Arabidopsis thaliana: one gene and its partners. The protein of the gene in region 2 interacts with the protein of the main gene of each other region in a pairwise test. Each region holds a gene or a part of one and is shown on either strand. Other genes may lie near its edges.

Region 1 (3,821 bases), about 22 Mb from region 2:
TGATCTTTCTCGGTCCGATCCTCGAAACTCCCTCGAAGGCTCGAACCCTCTCTTTGTTTTTTTACCACTATATAAGAAAGTCCGATTCCTCGTCACTCTTATTCCCACTTCCACACATACACATATACAACAGAGCAAGAGAGTCAATCAAGTAGAGTGAAGATGGCAACTAAACAAGAAGCTTTAGCCATCGATTTCATAAGCCAACACCTTCTCACAGACTTTGTTTCCATGGAAACTGATCACCCATCTCTTTTTACCAACCAACTTCACAACTTTCACTCAGAAACAGGCCCTAGAACCATCACCAACCAATCCCCTAAACCGAATTCGACTCTTAACCAGCGTAAACCGCCCTTACCGAATCTATCCGTCTCGAGAACGGTTTCAACAAAGACAGAGAAAGAGGAAGAAGAGAGGCACTACAGGGGAGTGAGACGAAGACCGTGGGGAAAATACGCGGCGGAGATTAGGGATCCGAACAAAAAGGGTTGTAGGATCTGGCTTGGGACTTACGACACTGCCGTGGAAGCTGGAAGAGCTTATGACCAAGCGGCGTTTCAATTACGTGGAAGAAAAGCAATCTTGAATTTCCCTCTCGATGTTAGGGTTACGTCAGAAACTTGTTCTGGGGAAGGAGTTATCGGATTAGGGAAACGAAAGCGAGATAAGGGTTCTCCGCCGGAAGAGGAGAAGGCGGCTAGGGTTAAAGTGGAGGAAGAAGAGAGTAATACGTCGGAGACGACGGAGGCTGAGGTTGAGCCGGTGGTACCATTGACGCCGTCAAGTTGGATGGGGTTTTGGGATGTGGGAGCAGGAGATGGTATTTTCAGTATTCCTCCGTTATCTCCGACGTCTCCCAACTTTTCCGTTATCTCCGTCACTTAAAACTTCGGAAAAGTCAACGTACGATGACGTTTTCACTTGCGTCACTCTCATGATTTCATTTATTCTTGTATAATATAAAGGTAGCGGTAGTGTGCAAATATCAAATAAGTAGTTTAATTAGTACCAATCATTTTATTCATTATTTTTTTTAGTAGAATATTTGGATGTTGAAAATATAAATTTAATTTTGTATTTGTTGATGTTATAAATTTATTGATTGTATAAACATTCTTAGTCATCAGTTTCGTTAAGTCCATATCTAAACACTTCATATCTGCTAAATAGTCAATAGATTATAAAATTGGATCAGGAAAAAGTAAATCGGAGCTATAAAAAAATAGTGTGCAACGAAAAGACAATTAATTAGTTAAAAATACATACAAATCTAAACAAATTCAAAATTTCAATAGTGGAAAACACCAATCAAATGGATAATGCTGTCGAAGATTATCTACAAAGCATCAATAAAAGTAAATAATTAATATTATCTTACATGCTATTATAAAAGATTATGAGATTAGGAGTATAATTGTCAAGCAACTGAGCAAGAGGGTAAGGTTTGGTTATTATATATGTGGAGCCCTATACGAAGTTATGTAGAAACAAAGAAATATCAAGTTGCTTCAAATCATATCCTAGCAAGACAACCCTACAAGACAAGCAATTTGATGAATTTGTCTCTCCTTTTTATTCGAGTGAAAGTCATTATCTTCTTATCTTTTTACTCGAATGTGAATATGCAAAATATCTTTTGATATTTAAGAGCTTACCTAGTGAGTCATTACTACTACGAAAATCATATATCAATCTTATCATAAAACTTTTAAGATAAAAAAAAAAAAGAAAAAACTTTTGAGAGATTGGCTTTTAAAGACTTAAGTTACGATTATAAACACTAGTAGTTCAAGTCTTTTTGGTTTTGGTTTGTGTTATGTTTTAGATTTAAAATTTCAAATGAACCTACGTCCTTAACCAACTCAATCAAAATTCTAGTTAAAAAAAATAATCACCATTTTGTTAGCATTCAGCTTAGGATTCGAACCATGGGTAGCTCAAGGTATTTTAAACTCTAGAGGAATAAAATGGATGTTAGTGAAATTTGTCAGCATCATAGACAAGATCAAGTTGGCACAACTTGAAGGGTCCTGACAAAATATCTTAAGTTGCCTCCATAAATGTTTAATGGATAAGACTTGGCCCCACAGAGTTAAACCAGAGAGACACAGAGAGAGACTTTTGACACCTCACCCATGGCTGCGTTAACACATGTTTAGGATTCCTTTCTTTATATAGCCAACAATATCATCAAAACTTTTTCTTCAAACACCACTTGCAGTTTTTCTTATTCTCCTGTCTTGTCTAAAGAAAAAAGAGAGAGGAAGAAATGGAGACTTTTGAGGAAAGCTCTGATTTGGATGTTATACAGAAACATCTATTTGAAGACTTGATGATCCCTGATGGTTTCATTGAAGATTTTGTCTTTGATGATACTGCTTTTGTCTCCGGACTCTGGTCTCTAGAACCCTTTAACCCAGTTCCGAAACTGGAACCTAGTTCACCTGTTCTTGATCCAGATTCCTATGTCCAAGAGATTCTGCAAATGGAAGCAGAATCATCATCATCATCATCAACAACAACGTCACCTGAGGTTGAGACTGTCTCAAACCGGAAAAAAACAAAGAGGTTTGAAGAAACGAGACATTACAGAGGCGTGAGAAGGAGGCCATGGGGGAAATTTGCAGCAGAGATTCGAGATCCGGCAAAGAAAGGATCCAGGATTTGGTTAGGCACTTTTGAGAGTGATATTGATGCTGCAAGGGCTTACGACTATGCAGCTTTTAAGCTCAGGGGAAGAAAAGCTGTTCTCAACTTTCCTTTGGATGCCGGAAAGTATGATGCTCCGGTCAATTCATGCCGAAAAAGGAGGAGAACCGATGTACCACAGCCTCAAGGAACAACAACAAGTACTTCATCATCGTCATCAAACTAATGGGGGAATAGTGATGTTTAATTAGTATATATAGGTTAATATCTTAAGTATGTGAAGCATCATGTATAGAGCCAAGAACCTGTTAGACTAGTGTACTGAAAAGAACTCTTGCAAAATATGTACTAAAGAGTTCCTGTAACAATGGAACTTCTGCGTTTTCTCTTGTCTTAAAGAGCTTAAGGTTCTAGAAACAAAGTTCTTGTCCTTTCGGTTTATTCAGAGTACACTATTTGGGAAGACAAGAGGACCTAAATCTATCGACTACATTTATTTATTAATCTACTGTGATACTTAAAATCGAATTTCTACCTGAAAGACCTTAACATAAGCCTTAAAGTTTCTCCAATGACACAAACAGTACCGTACAGTGGCTTCAGTATTCACTATTCGATATCACTGAGGTATTAATTAGTTCACATGTCCAGAAAGCGTGAATCAGTGAATTGAGTAGAAAGATGAACAAGTTGCAAGAGGGACCAAGTTTAAAGAATATAGCAGCCAGAGTTTTGTCTCATGGTTGGGTACAAGTCAGCATTCATTTTTTAAATATGACAAAGAATTGGATGGACCACACGCAACAGCTCAAGAGGGGAGAGATGCACAAGTTGCAATATGGAAAAGTAAACAGAGGAAGATATGTATTAACATCTCAACCTCATCGTTGAGATGGATGTTGATTATTATTATTAGGAATAACTAAAACCAAAGAATTCTTATAAGTTATAACAATGAAATTACTTCATGGTTTTTTGATAAAGATATCTCCTATGCATATATATCTAGTATACATTTGGAACAGTTGATGAATATCAACTGACCTGTTTCTTAGATAGAAGAGATCTTCATGTTATCGATCTTTTCTTGAGTTTCCATGTCGATCACATTCTGCAATGCTCCTTCACCAGTCAAGAAACTCGGTTGATTTGTCGATGCAAGGAGTCTA
Region 2 (3,760 bases):
TGTGTTTTCGAATTTACCATGGTATATTATGTGTGAGGGAAAGAGAATTAATAGAAAGTGAAAAGAGGATCGACAAAAGAGAAAAGAAAAAAAGAAGAATAATTAAAAGAAGATATATAGGGATCAGTGCTTGACTTGACTGCAGATTCAGTTGCTGTCTTAACTGCCTCATCTTCTTCTCATTTTCCTTCTCTCATTCGCCAATCCCAATAAGGCAATACTCATCACCTAAATCTATCTCTATATAGCTAGTTGTTGGTTGGAGTATATGATTCTACTCACTTTACATTAATCCAATTACCGGAAAGCTGCTACAACAAATCATATACCTATATATGAATATTCAGGATAAAACGTTTTAGTTGTCGTAAATCCTTCCAATAGGTTCAATAATGCTTTTGCGGCATATTTGGTTTCGGAAATGTAAGAAAATAAATATTCGGTTCGATTAGTTTACATGTTAAGCCCAAAATATATACATACAACGTATATTTGTGTCATTGTGTGTATGAGTGTGTTTATTTCTATTTGTAGATGATATCATATGTGTTGTGTTCCTTGTATACTACACATGCATGTGGTTGTGGACATATGAGTACAAGCTAGGGTTTGGCGTGCAATGAGGCCTGTGTTATAGCATATTTAGGCACTACAAACTTTACATACAAATGTGAAAAGTTTGTATGAGAGATATTATTTATATTGATTGTAGCGGTACAATGAATTAGATATTCTACCAACTCAATCACAACATGAATTATGAATATGTACCTTTGCTCGCATCAGATTTGGCGTCTATTATATAATCTTTAATAAGACTGTCTACTATAAATACACGCATGTGACGATTAATCAATCCAACAATAACCATTAAACCATATAAATCTCCCTCTCTCTATGTACATATAGTAAATGCCTTACATGTCACATGACTTGAATTCTTCAACTTGTTAAAGATCGTCTAAAAATAATCTGCAGCTGGAACTACTCGATATGGTCTGGTTGTGAGCTTGTGCTACTAAAGAGTTGAAGTTGACCACCACCGAGAAACGAAGGGTACCTTGTTGGGAATAGAGAACTCATAGTTTCCGCCGCCGGAGGATTGAGATTATTATTATTATAGTTATTAGAAAATGCGACAGTGACGTTACCAGATTGGTCTAGTAGTGACTGTTGGAGATGTCCAAGGTTGTAGTGATAAGAGCTGCTAGACGAAGTAATTGTAGGGAAATAAAGCTTGTTGCTCTGGATTGAATTCGAGAAATGGTTGTGATGATCGATGTGATCAAACACATGATCAAGATTAACCCATTTCCTTTTCTCAAGATCCAAAGCTTCTCTCTGTGTTCTTCCAAGATCGAAGACCCCGGGAAAAGATTCTCCAAGGCCGGTGAGATTAGGGTTAAGTTGGTGAAAACCAGGTGGGAATTGCAAAGGAGGAAGCAAATCGACGTCGTTTTTGGCAACTTCTAAGAGCCAATCAATGACTTTGCTAGGCTGACTCAGCCCTAATCGTTCTTGAAGGTCGTAGACTTGGATCGCTGTCATCACCGACAACCTTATCCTCCTGTCTCGGAGACCACGAACTGTGCACACTTTGCTGTGTCTATCTTTGCCTCCAAATGCTCGGGAGACTCGCACGATCCTCGGATTATTCCATCGTTGCGTCAACAAGGACAAGGAACTTTTCTGATCTTCTTTTTTTATTCCCATGTCCTCTGTCGATCTAAAAAACAAAAAACAGATGAACAAAATCAATATTGTCATCACAAAGTGTTCAAATTCGGAATGTTTGTGGATTTTTGGGAAGCGTGATCACTTTAATTAGATGAAAGCAACTTCAATAGAGTAAATAACAAAAACCTATTAAGATCAAGAAAACGTATATTACTCGAACTGCATATTAATTTAATTTACTAGATATTTTGTGTATATATACTTAAAAAAGATCAAAGGAAAGTGATTCTCAAATCGAAATAGATTACAATTGAATCAATAGGAAGATCTGAGGATCCAAAGAGGAAAACAAAGGTTTCAAATTATATTACTGCAAGAAAAAAAGATGATTAATCTTACACAGAAAAACTGGTAAGCTTGACGAAGTCGTTGGGTTTAGACAGATCGAGTGAGTTCTTTGTCACGTAGGTTGAGGAAAATGATAAGAACCGAGATGATGAACAGTTATAATTTATTCTCTCTCGTTATCTAAAACTAAAAGTGTATAATATAACATATGGTTGAGGCTGAGCAAGAAATGATATCTATATATATATACGCTCCAATCCCTAGGGTTTTAGTTAGGTATAAAGAGCAATTTGTGTAGTGTGTAGACTATAGACACTCTTATCCACATGTTTTCTGACGGAAAGAAAGATGCTATGATTTTCATTAATCACCCATACTAATAGTAGATAATAAATAAAAACATATACATACACTGATACACATATACATAATCAAAATGTGTACACATGTATCTACTTACTTAGAGATCATTCTTTAGAATGTCTAGTCCTGAATCTTGATGATGCATACGATCATTCTTAACGATATCTTTGACTCCATTCAATAGAAAATACTAATGTAAGAAAATTACATTTTCATTACACACTACATATGGATCTTTTGCTATATATCATTCGAAACAATAGTTCAAAATTACTGAGAACCAACTTATACATTACATTTGGTATAGGGCAAATTCCATTATATATAGTATGTGATGTGCATCAGTAAATGTTAAGACCCAAAACTTTTAAAAATTAGGGGTTTCCTTTCGATTTTCTTCGTGAGATGATCCCAATTGAGCTCCATAATACTGTACATATTATAGTAGGCAAATAGATTGACAGCTAAAATGGTTGGTCTTAGATGGAGGATGGACCAAATTAAAGAGTACATGTTTTTTTTTGTTAAAATAAAGCATCTTAGATATGTAATATGCTTATATACAGATTCATGGTGGACCACTATATAATTTGCATGGCAGTGAGATATCTAGTTCATTCTTTTAAGCATTATTTATATACACTGTCAGGATATCACAATAACAGAATTTCATATAACAAAAATATAATTATTAAATTTCATAAGAATTCTTGTAATTCAATAACAATGACATTGGGGTTTTATATCAATGAGTGAATTCTTGCCATACTGCCAAATTTCACTATATATCTTATAATAAACTGTTTTACTTTTCTTTTAAACGTTTCACAATTTATGACTAATTATTAGCTGCTTGTATACAATGTGTATAAGTAGACCTCTGCGTATGTGTATCAGAGAATCAGAGATTGAGAAGTTTCTCTAGTTGGGACCTAAGGTCGGCTGAAGTAGATAACGATGATTGGACTTCAGTTTCAAAAATTTATTAGCCTTTAGTGCGTTGGATTATGTAATCTTCAAGACGATTGAAGCATATACAAGAAAATAGTTTTAACCTTTTTTCCTAGAAATTTGTTAAGTATGAACGATTCCAATTTCATAGAGGTCAAATACATTACATACTAGCGGTAGATCACATACTAGTGATGGCGGTTAAAAACGAACCTTTAATTCGGTTACCAATATTGAATTGGATACTTGGACTTGAAATAAGCGGTTAGAAGCTCAAACGAATGATTTCAAACTGATTTGTCCTAAAACCACAATCAATTTCAAGTAAACCCTGCTTATCTTTTACCACTGCAAACCGGACCATATTCTCTGATCGCTAGAGAATCTTATTAAGTTTGGTCACACAACCTAGCTGTAACCA
Region 3 (4,224 bases), on a different chromosome or scaffold from region 2:
ATACAATTAAAAAATTTGAGATTTGAAATTTATAGAAAAAATAATATTACTATAAATTAACATATACATCATAGTTCTGTCATTAACTCATTATTAATTTAGAAAGTTTTTTATAAAATACGGATTCACCATGTGCGTTTGAACCAAAGTACAAATTTACCGAATATTAACTCTCACTATGGCCTATGGGCTTTATGATTCGCAAATACAAAAGATTTAAGCGATAAACATATATTCTCGTGGTTGTACAAATATGGCAATCTTCGTATCATAATTTGGATTCAAATTCAATAGTGGGCATGTAAGAAATGTAGAATGAAAGATGAGGGATGTGAAAAGTTCTACCATTTAGCTTTTTTTTTTTTTGGACATCTTTTAGCTTTAATAGTCAAAGATAAAGAACTAAATGTAATGACTTCTAAAATAGCTTAGTAAGCAATTGAAAGAGTCGTTATTCAAGTTTTGTATATAATATCATTCTTTAACTTCGTAAATTTTATGATTATAAATATTATAAAAAAATTACCCTCCACCATTAACAAATGTTAAACCCCAAAATCAAGACGTACTATCAATAGAACATGAGACATTTTTTAACAAACTTTATTTTATATTTTGTGTATGTGTATGTATAGATAATCATACAGATAAATGAAGAAGTGGGTCTAAAGACGAAGAAGACTCAGTGAAACTACTCCAAAGATCAACATTATCATCATTATTCCAATGAAGATCCCATCGCTGCATCATAGTATCACCATTTTCTTCTTCTTCATCAAAACTCTTACGATGACACGGATTATGATGACCATTGTTCAATTGCCAAGCTACGAGCCGGTCAAGACTAGCCCAGTTGCTGCAAACCGGTCTTTCGGTTATCTTCTCTTGAACGGGAGAGAAATCGAGTTTGCTTGGAGTCAGGAAACTTTGGTCGACCGGGCTCTCGGATTTAGGTGTCTCAAGACTTGGGAGTTGCATGAATAAGACATCATCTTGATGTTGAGTCGTTGTTTGGCTCTCGGGCATGCAAATGTTAGAACCGGTACGGTCCATGTAGAGAAGAACATGGTCTAAACCGGTAACGTTTTGAGTGTTGTGAAAGGTGGGCCCCTTCTCTTCCTCCGTGTCATCAGGTAAAGAAGATAGAGTGATTTTAGGACAATCGTCAATCTTTTGATAGTTCTTCTTCCTGAACACTCGACATACCACCCAACCTTCTTCGTTATAGCTCATTGGATCTTCTGTAACAACATCAGCATAGCCCTGATAATGGAACACAAATCGATCTTATGAAATGCAATAAGAGATGATTAAATCTTGATGATGTAAAAATGCAACTTTTATTTTGAAACAAAAAAAAAAATCTTTTATGTTGGTTTTTCTTTTGGATATGCAACCATAACTAGTTAACTACGTATTGTTTGTAGAGCCGTGTTAAACTATTTTAAGCCTTGTGAAAAAATCTTTTTATATAAATGTATATATGATGTGTTAATTTCATAAGAAATTATCTTATTGTAACTCAGAGAATCATGTTCGATTACTTTAATTGCAGATGCTAAAAGAAGGCTCTAGTGCGTACTAAATGAACCAAAACCTTTTATAGCATGAAACGAATCTAGCTAATTCTTTGACTATAAGTTTGTAATTTGTTTATTCTAACCTAAACTGCAAATTGATGATTGCTATATATACTTACATTAGACATTGGAGTATCGTCGAGGCGATACTCATGCATGATCCAGTCGGATTTCTGACCGTGAGGAGCTCTTCCTTTGTAGAACACGAGTGTCTTCCTCAGTCCAATTCTCCGGACACAACTGCAGATGATTTTGTCACGTCCGGTAGCTTTCCAGAATCCAGCGACTGTTGCCCGGTTCGTCCTGGTCCCGGTTGGATACTTCTTGTCCTTGTGGCTGAAGAAGTACCAGTCGTTTTGTGGCGTTGAACCGATTCTACATTCCTCTGCATTTGCATACCAAAATGGTTCAAAAATAAAGAACAAAGAAATAGAGAGTTCGTAGAAATGAAAGAGTTTTTTTTCATATTTAGGGTTTAACCTTGAATATCCCAAGGCTCAAGCTTGTTTAGATCAACTTCACGAATGACATCAAGATCGATCTTTTGAGAGTTAACTTTCTTACGGAGATAGTAATGGAGAAGTTCTTCTTCGGTGGGATGGAATCTGAAACCTGGAGGCACTTTTGATTGTCCATTAATCGAAAGATTGACCTTATTATCAGCCATTAACGAAGATAGCAATATATTTTTGGGTTTTTGCTCTAGAAGAGTAGAGAAGTTGTATGATTACGAGTGGAAATGGTTACAACTTAAAAAAAAGAAAGCAAACGATGAGATAATTTATAATGGTGGTAGGACTCGACGAGACATAGCCCCCAAAAGGGGGAAATTGTTATTTAAACAAAGAAGTTCATGCATTAAAGTGTCTTTATGAAATTAGTATAATTTAGTAAACAGATGTTTCTATGTTTAAATCGAGTTTGATCATACGTAAGTTCTGACGTAAGACATATTTCTTTTGACGTGTAATGTCATGTCATGTGTAATGTATAAAACGGAAAAATACTAACGTAAATAAACGGGTTTAGTGGGGGATTAATCTTTGTGTTTTCTTGCAATTACTTATTGCAGAATTTGAATTCCATGTGTTTTGGTCTTTACTAATGTATGTAAATATAAAGTATAGATTTGTTTAGAAGAAAATAAATGTAAATTATTTTCTAATATAGCTACGTATATTAAAATAATTTTCATTAATATATCACACACTCGTTTCATGATCTACGTCATCTACATTCTACCATGTTAATTAGTTATCTATTTTTTCCCATGTTTTTGGTATGTTCATTCCTTTCGATGTATCCTAAAAATACATCAATTTTTTTTTTCTTTTCATAATCTATCATTTTTATTCTAATATCTGGTGTCACCTAATCAAGATAATGTGTGTAACATTAACGAAAGAACTTTCCATGATTTTTTTTCTTCTTTTTGGACGATTTTCGATGTTTAATTGTACTATATTTTTTGGTGTATTTAAGTGACAAAAACGTGATGAAAGTCAAAGAAATTGAAACAAGCGGAGAAGAGCAGGGGACATGCTTTTTGCACAAGTGTGACACTTCATCTTCATTTCATCATTTAATTCACCTCTGCCTTTAGTGCATGTCCAATTAGTGCATGTATATTTCAATCTAGCTATTCATCTTAAATCGGAAATAGTTATTCAGACCATCTTACATAGTAAGTTTGAGTATTCGATGGTTATGCGAATACCAAAAAAAAACTAAAATGAAGGGTAAGGCTATATAGCCATTAATATTTAACCGTAGATATTGAAATAGCTAAAAAGAATAGAGAGTATGAATGTGGGAGTGACAGACTGACATGTTGGAATATCCACTTCCAGCTAAAAAGGTGATAGTTGGATTATGTACACAAATAACTGAATTAATTAGCAATATTTGTTTATGAAAATATATGTATATATTCAACCATTTAACATACATATATGTGTATATATTTTAGTTATGGACTTAATTATTGGAATTAAGCATACTGATATAATATGATTTACAAATAGAGGCTGGAGCAATGACACTTTAATCGTTTTCTTATTATATAATATAAGTATATAACATGTACATAAAAGTTGTTACCCTACATGCACTGTACTTATCATTTGTCTGTTGATGGGATCTTTGTGTTTCAACATTAATAATGATGTTTTGTTTCTCTAAATTCTATGCTTAATCATGCTTTTGGGTACACAATTGATGGATTAACTAATACCACATAATGATTAACCACATTTGACCTCTCATTCTTTCACTTTTTCCATTTCTTTATTCTAGTTTTAATTGAGTTGAGTGTGAAGTTTCACCTCGTAATTTGTTCCCATACTAATATTTTGATATATCATTTCGTCATTCCCTTTTGTTAAATCATGTGTGTCCCATGCTCACATGTATGTTATTAACTGAAAACTAATTTCGAACAAAAATATCACAAAAATTAATTCACATTTGTCATTAAATCGAAATAAGGAGAAATAAATTAAATATTCAAGAGAATGTTAAGGCTTTTACACTAAAGTTGATATATATTGAAACAAGAATATTTAATTTATCTAACATGTTAACTAAATCATTGAAGGTGCTCCAAAGTTGATGATCTTGCTGGAGCAAGTTAAGAGCTCACATC
Region 4 (3,620 bases), on a different chromosome or scaffold from region 2:
TCCGTGCCGCAACAACGTTCGTTTTAATCAGATTATATATTACTCTGCTATAAACTCAGAACCATGTTAGAAAAATGAAAAAGACATTTCAGAATATTCATTAACTCAAAATTTTAATCTCATGATTTAATTTTTTATTAACAATGTTATCCTATAGCACATGGCAAATTTGAACGGCCCTTGCGTATTAATCTATTATAATCTCAAAACCATGTGTAAGAAAAAGGAAATTCAGAAAATAACCTTTTGTAAATAGGCCCCCACAAAATCTACAACATACGTAGATACCTCCTCGCTTACAGTTGTAAACAACTGTTCATCTAGATTCATGCCGTCATTCAAGTTTAAATTAATACAATAATTTAAAATTTTAATTTGGATGAATCGAATCCACCGTCGTTTCCTGAATACCAGATAGGTTAACTTTATGATTAGTTCGAGTGAACCACATGCACAATATTCGAATCTTAGACATTCGTTGCAATGTTAACTTCACATATATTTGATAAACGCTTCTTGAATCAGATCTTAATCTCTTTCTTTCTCTCCATCTTCTAAGGAGGTTGTGGATTATCATGTAGTATATCATTATCTTCGCATCACCTTCAACAAGAACAAGCTACGAGCTTTAAAGTCGTATTTAACACAATAATGTATAAAGTCTTTCTTCATCACATCACATACATTTTTTGTTGCCATCACCCTTCATTCACTTTTTTTGTTAACACTATTCGTTTCTATATAAAATAAAAATAAAATGAGGAATGTCTTGTCCATAGAGATTTTTAAGGTCGAGGGTCATCGGAGCGATGTGGGCTTGCTTCCTACATTATAGTTGATATGTGGATCCCGCGTGGACCATATTTTTACCCAATAGCTACGTGCATGGTCCCACCGCTCTCTCTCACGCACTATTCCGAAATTGCCATAAACAATTTCACCGGACAAAAAGAGCAAATAATTTCGATGTTTAATAAAGAGACCATTAGTATATTTGACCCAAAAAAAAATAAAAAAAAAAGAGAGACATTACTATAACTTTTATTAGATGAAATATTGCAACATTGTATTTATAACGGATCTAATTTACTGAATCATATTTTTTTTCTTTGTTAAAGAGATACTGAATCATGCAGAAAAATAGATAGATTTTTAAATACTAGGTGAACTCATGACGAATCAACCATTACGAGAGATTTCTGGATAAAAGCAAAAACAAAACAAAACTAACATGCTAATCTAGGCAATTAGTAGAGCGAAAAGTCGGCAAAACCAAAGGCCGAAGAAGCTTGATCGATATACTTTTTTTTTTTTGTTTTGGCTGGATATACTTGGTATGAACTAAGAATTAAGTAAAAACTCATAGGGAGTAATTTTTCGAGAAGTGCATTCACTATGAGTATAAAACAGACATTTTCAAATTATTAAAACAAGCTCTTAGAGGCTCATATGTTTAATTGTAAGTGGCGGCTCATGCGAACTTATAATGAAAACATCAAATATTCGGAAAAATAATACTCCACTGTTAAAAAGAAAACTTAACAAAGGAATTAAAAATATGAGAGCAAAAGAACACATGCATTTTCTCATGCATGTACTATTATTTATTTTTTTGCAGAGTTGATGTAAAAAATATACACATATATATAGACATACTTTGGTTAGTTATAAACTCGTTCTATTTTCTTCTCCTTTTTCTATCTTTAGCAATGAACATATCAGTAAACGGACAGTCACAAGTACCTCCTGGCTTTAGGTTTCACCCAACCGAGGAAGAGCTCTTGAAGTATTACCTCCGCAAGAAAATCTCTAACATCAAGATCGATCTCGATGTTATTCCTGACATTGATCTCAACAAGCTCGAGCCTTGGGATATTCAAGGTTCATCATTTATCTTTTATTCTTGATGAAACGTATTAATAGGGCTTGTATATATTAATTAAATTAGTTTTTTAATGCATGTGTTGAGTCAAGAACTAAAGCTCTGAATTCAGGAAATTTTGCAGAGTAATATATACTTTTTGTGATAATAAAATTTGCAGTAACAAAATTCAGTCAAAACTTAACACAACTCTTGTTTTTTCTATGTAGAGATGTGTAAGATTGGAACGACGCCGCAAAACGATTGGTACTTTTATAGCCATAAGGACAAGAAGTATCCCACCGGGACTAGAACCAACAGAGCCACCACGGTCGGATTTTGGAAAGCGACGGGACGTGACAAGACCATATATACCAATGGTGATAGAATCGGGATGCGAAAGACGCTTGTCTTCTACAAAGGTCGAGCCCCTCATGGTCAGAAATCCGATTGGATCATGCACGAATATAGACTCGACGAGAGTGTATTAATCTCCTCGTGTGGCGATCATGACGTCAACGTAGAAACGTGTGATGTCATAGGAAGTGACGAAGGATGGGTGGTGTGTCGTGTTTTCAAGAAAAATAACCTTTGCAAAAACATGATTAGTAGTAGCCCGGCGAGTTCGGTGAAAACGCCGTCGTTCAATGAGGAGACTATCGAGCAACTTCTCGAAGTTATGGGGCAATCTTGTAAAGGAGAGATAGTTTTAGACCCTTTCTTAAAACTCCCTAACCTCGAATGCCATAACAACACCACCATCACGAGTTATCAGTGGTTAATCGACGACCAAGTCAACAACTGCCACGTCAGCAAAGTTATGGATCCCAGCTTCATCACTAGCTGGGCCGCTTTGGATCGGCTCGTTGCCTCACAGTTAAATGGGCCCAACTCGTATTCAATACCAGCCGTTAATGAGACTTCACAATCACCGTATCATGGACTGAACCGGTCCGGTTGTAATACCGGTTTAACACCAGATTACTATATACCGGAGATTGATTTATGGAACGAGGCAGATTTCGCGAGAACGACATGCCACTTGTTGAACGGTAGTGGATAACGGAAATGGAAGAGAGGAAGTGACTAAGTGAGTGACATACCAAAACATTGTGTAGAAAGATATAATAATCATCATACCATATATATAGTTGTTGAAACTTTTACGGTATAAATGGTCAGATTGTGATAATTACAGTACGTAGTTATGTGATATCATTACAGAAAATAAAAGTTCTCTATATCTGTGTACATTTTATATCATGATTAACTTTATAGAAAAGAATTGGTTGCATAGTTGAATTTCTTTGGATCAAGAATATTAGTTTTTGTCTTTTTGAAACTTAATTGCCATTCGATGAACAAAAAGGCAATTACATTTTCTACTGTAAGAAATCATAGTCTGTCACATGCATCGCCGGGTGTTTTCTAATTACAATTATATGAAAAAAGGATTTTGACCAAAAGTTGATTATGATTTCAAGAGAGACAAAAGACCAAAATGATAATTAATTCGTCGACAAATTAACTTTAGGAACAGATGATTTCCATTACGTTAATTATTCAAAGTTTCTCATTTTACTCTCAATTAAACTGAAGTTTTATTTACTAGAAACTTGAGATATTTAGTTGGTAAATGCTTAGTTTGATGTTGAATAGTTTGCTTCATTCATCATTAGGAATAGATTAATTACCCAATTAATCACCCCAACAAACTTGGATTAAGATGCACCAAGTGCTTAATAATAGTAGCTAATTA

The links.
Region 1: the proteins of TCP17 (region 2) and AT5G61590 interact in a two-hybrid assay, tested with the Arabidopsis thaliana proteins (one large-scale study listed by BioGRID).
Region 3: the proteins of TCP17 (region 2) and NAC012 interact in a two-hybrid assay, tested with the Arabidopsis thaliana proteins (one large-scale study listed by BioGRID).
Region 4: the proteins of TCP17 (region 2) and NAC066 interact in a two-hybrid assay, tested with the Arabidopsis thaliana proteins (one large-scale study listed by BioGRID).

What each region holds. Positions count from the first base shown.
Region 1 is NC_003076.8:24,763,710-24,767,530, reverse strand, and holds AT5G61590 (Integrase-type DNA-binding superfamily protein), read left to right. Parts: upstream 1-2,019; 5' UTR 2,020-2,272; coding exon 2,273-2,878; 3' UTR 2,879-3,275; downstream 3,276-3,821. Other genes in the region: ERF104 (ethylene response factor 104), read left to right, coding at 163-888; PFK4 (phosphofructokinase 4), read right to left, coding at 3,704-3,821.
Region 2 is NC_003076.8:2,582,838-2,586,597, reverse strand, and holds TCP17 (TCP domain protein 17), read right to left. Parts: upstream 2,241-3,760; 5' UTR 2,077-2,240; intron 1,727-2,076; 5' UTR 1,714-1,726; coding exon 985-1,713; 3' UTR 563-984; downstream 1-562. UniProt on the Arabidopsis thaliana protein: Plays a pivotal role in the control of morphogenesis of shoot organs by negatively regulating the expression of boundary-specific genes such as CUC genes, probably through the induction of miRNA (e.g. miR164). Participates in ovule development.
Region 3 is NC_003070.9:11,864,704-11,868,927, forward strand, and holds NAC012 (NAC domain containing protein 12), read right to left. Parts: upstream 2,452-4,224; 5' UTR 2,248-2,451; coding exon 2,061-2,247; intron 1,966-2,060; coding exon 1,700-1,965; intron 1,264-1,699; coding exon 640-1,263; 3' UTR 526-639; downstream 1-525. UniProt on the Arabidopsis thaliana protein: Transcriptional activator of genes involved in biosynthesis of secondary walls. Together with NST1, required for the secondary cell wall thickening and lignification of sclerenchymatous fibers and secondary xylem vessels (tracheary elements).
Region 4 is NC_003074.8:22,928,497-22,932,116, reverse strand, and holds NAC066 (NAC domain protein 66), read left to right. Parts: upstream 1-1,660; 5' UTR 1,661-1,709; coding exon 1,710-1,881; intron 1,882-2,091; coding exon 2,092-2,924; 3' UTR 2,925-3,111; downstream 3,112-3,620. UniProt on the Arabidopsis thaliana protein: Transcription activator of genes involved in biosynthesis of secondary walls. Together with NST1, required for the secondary cell wall thickening of the anther endocethium, which is necessary for anther dehiscence.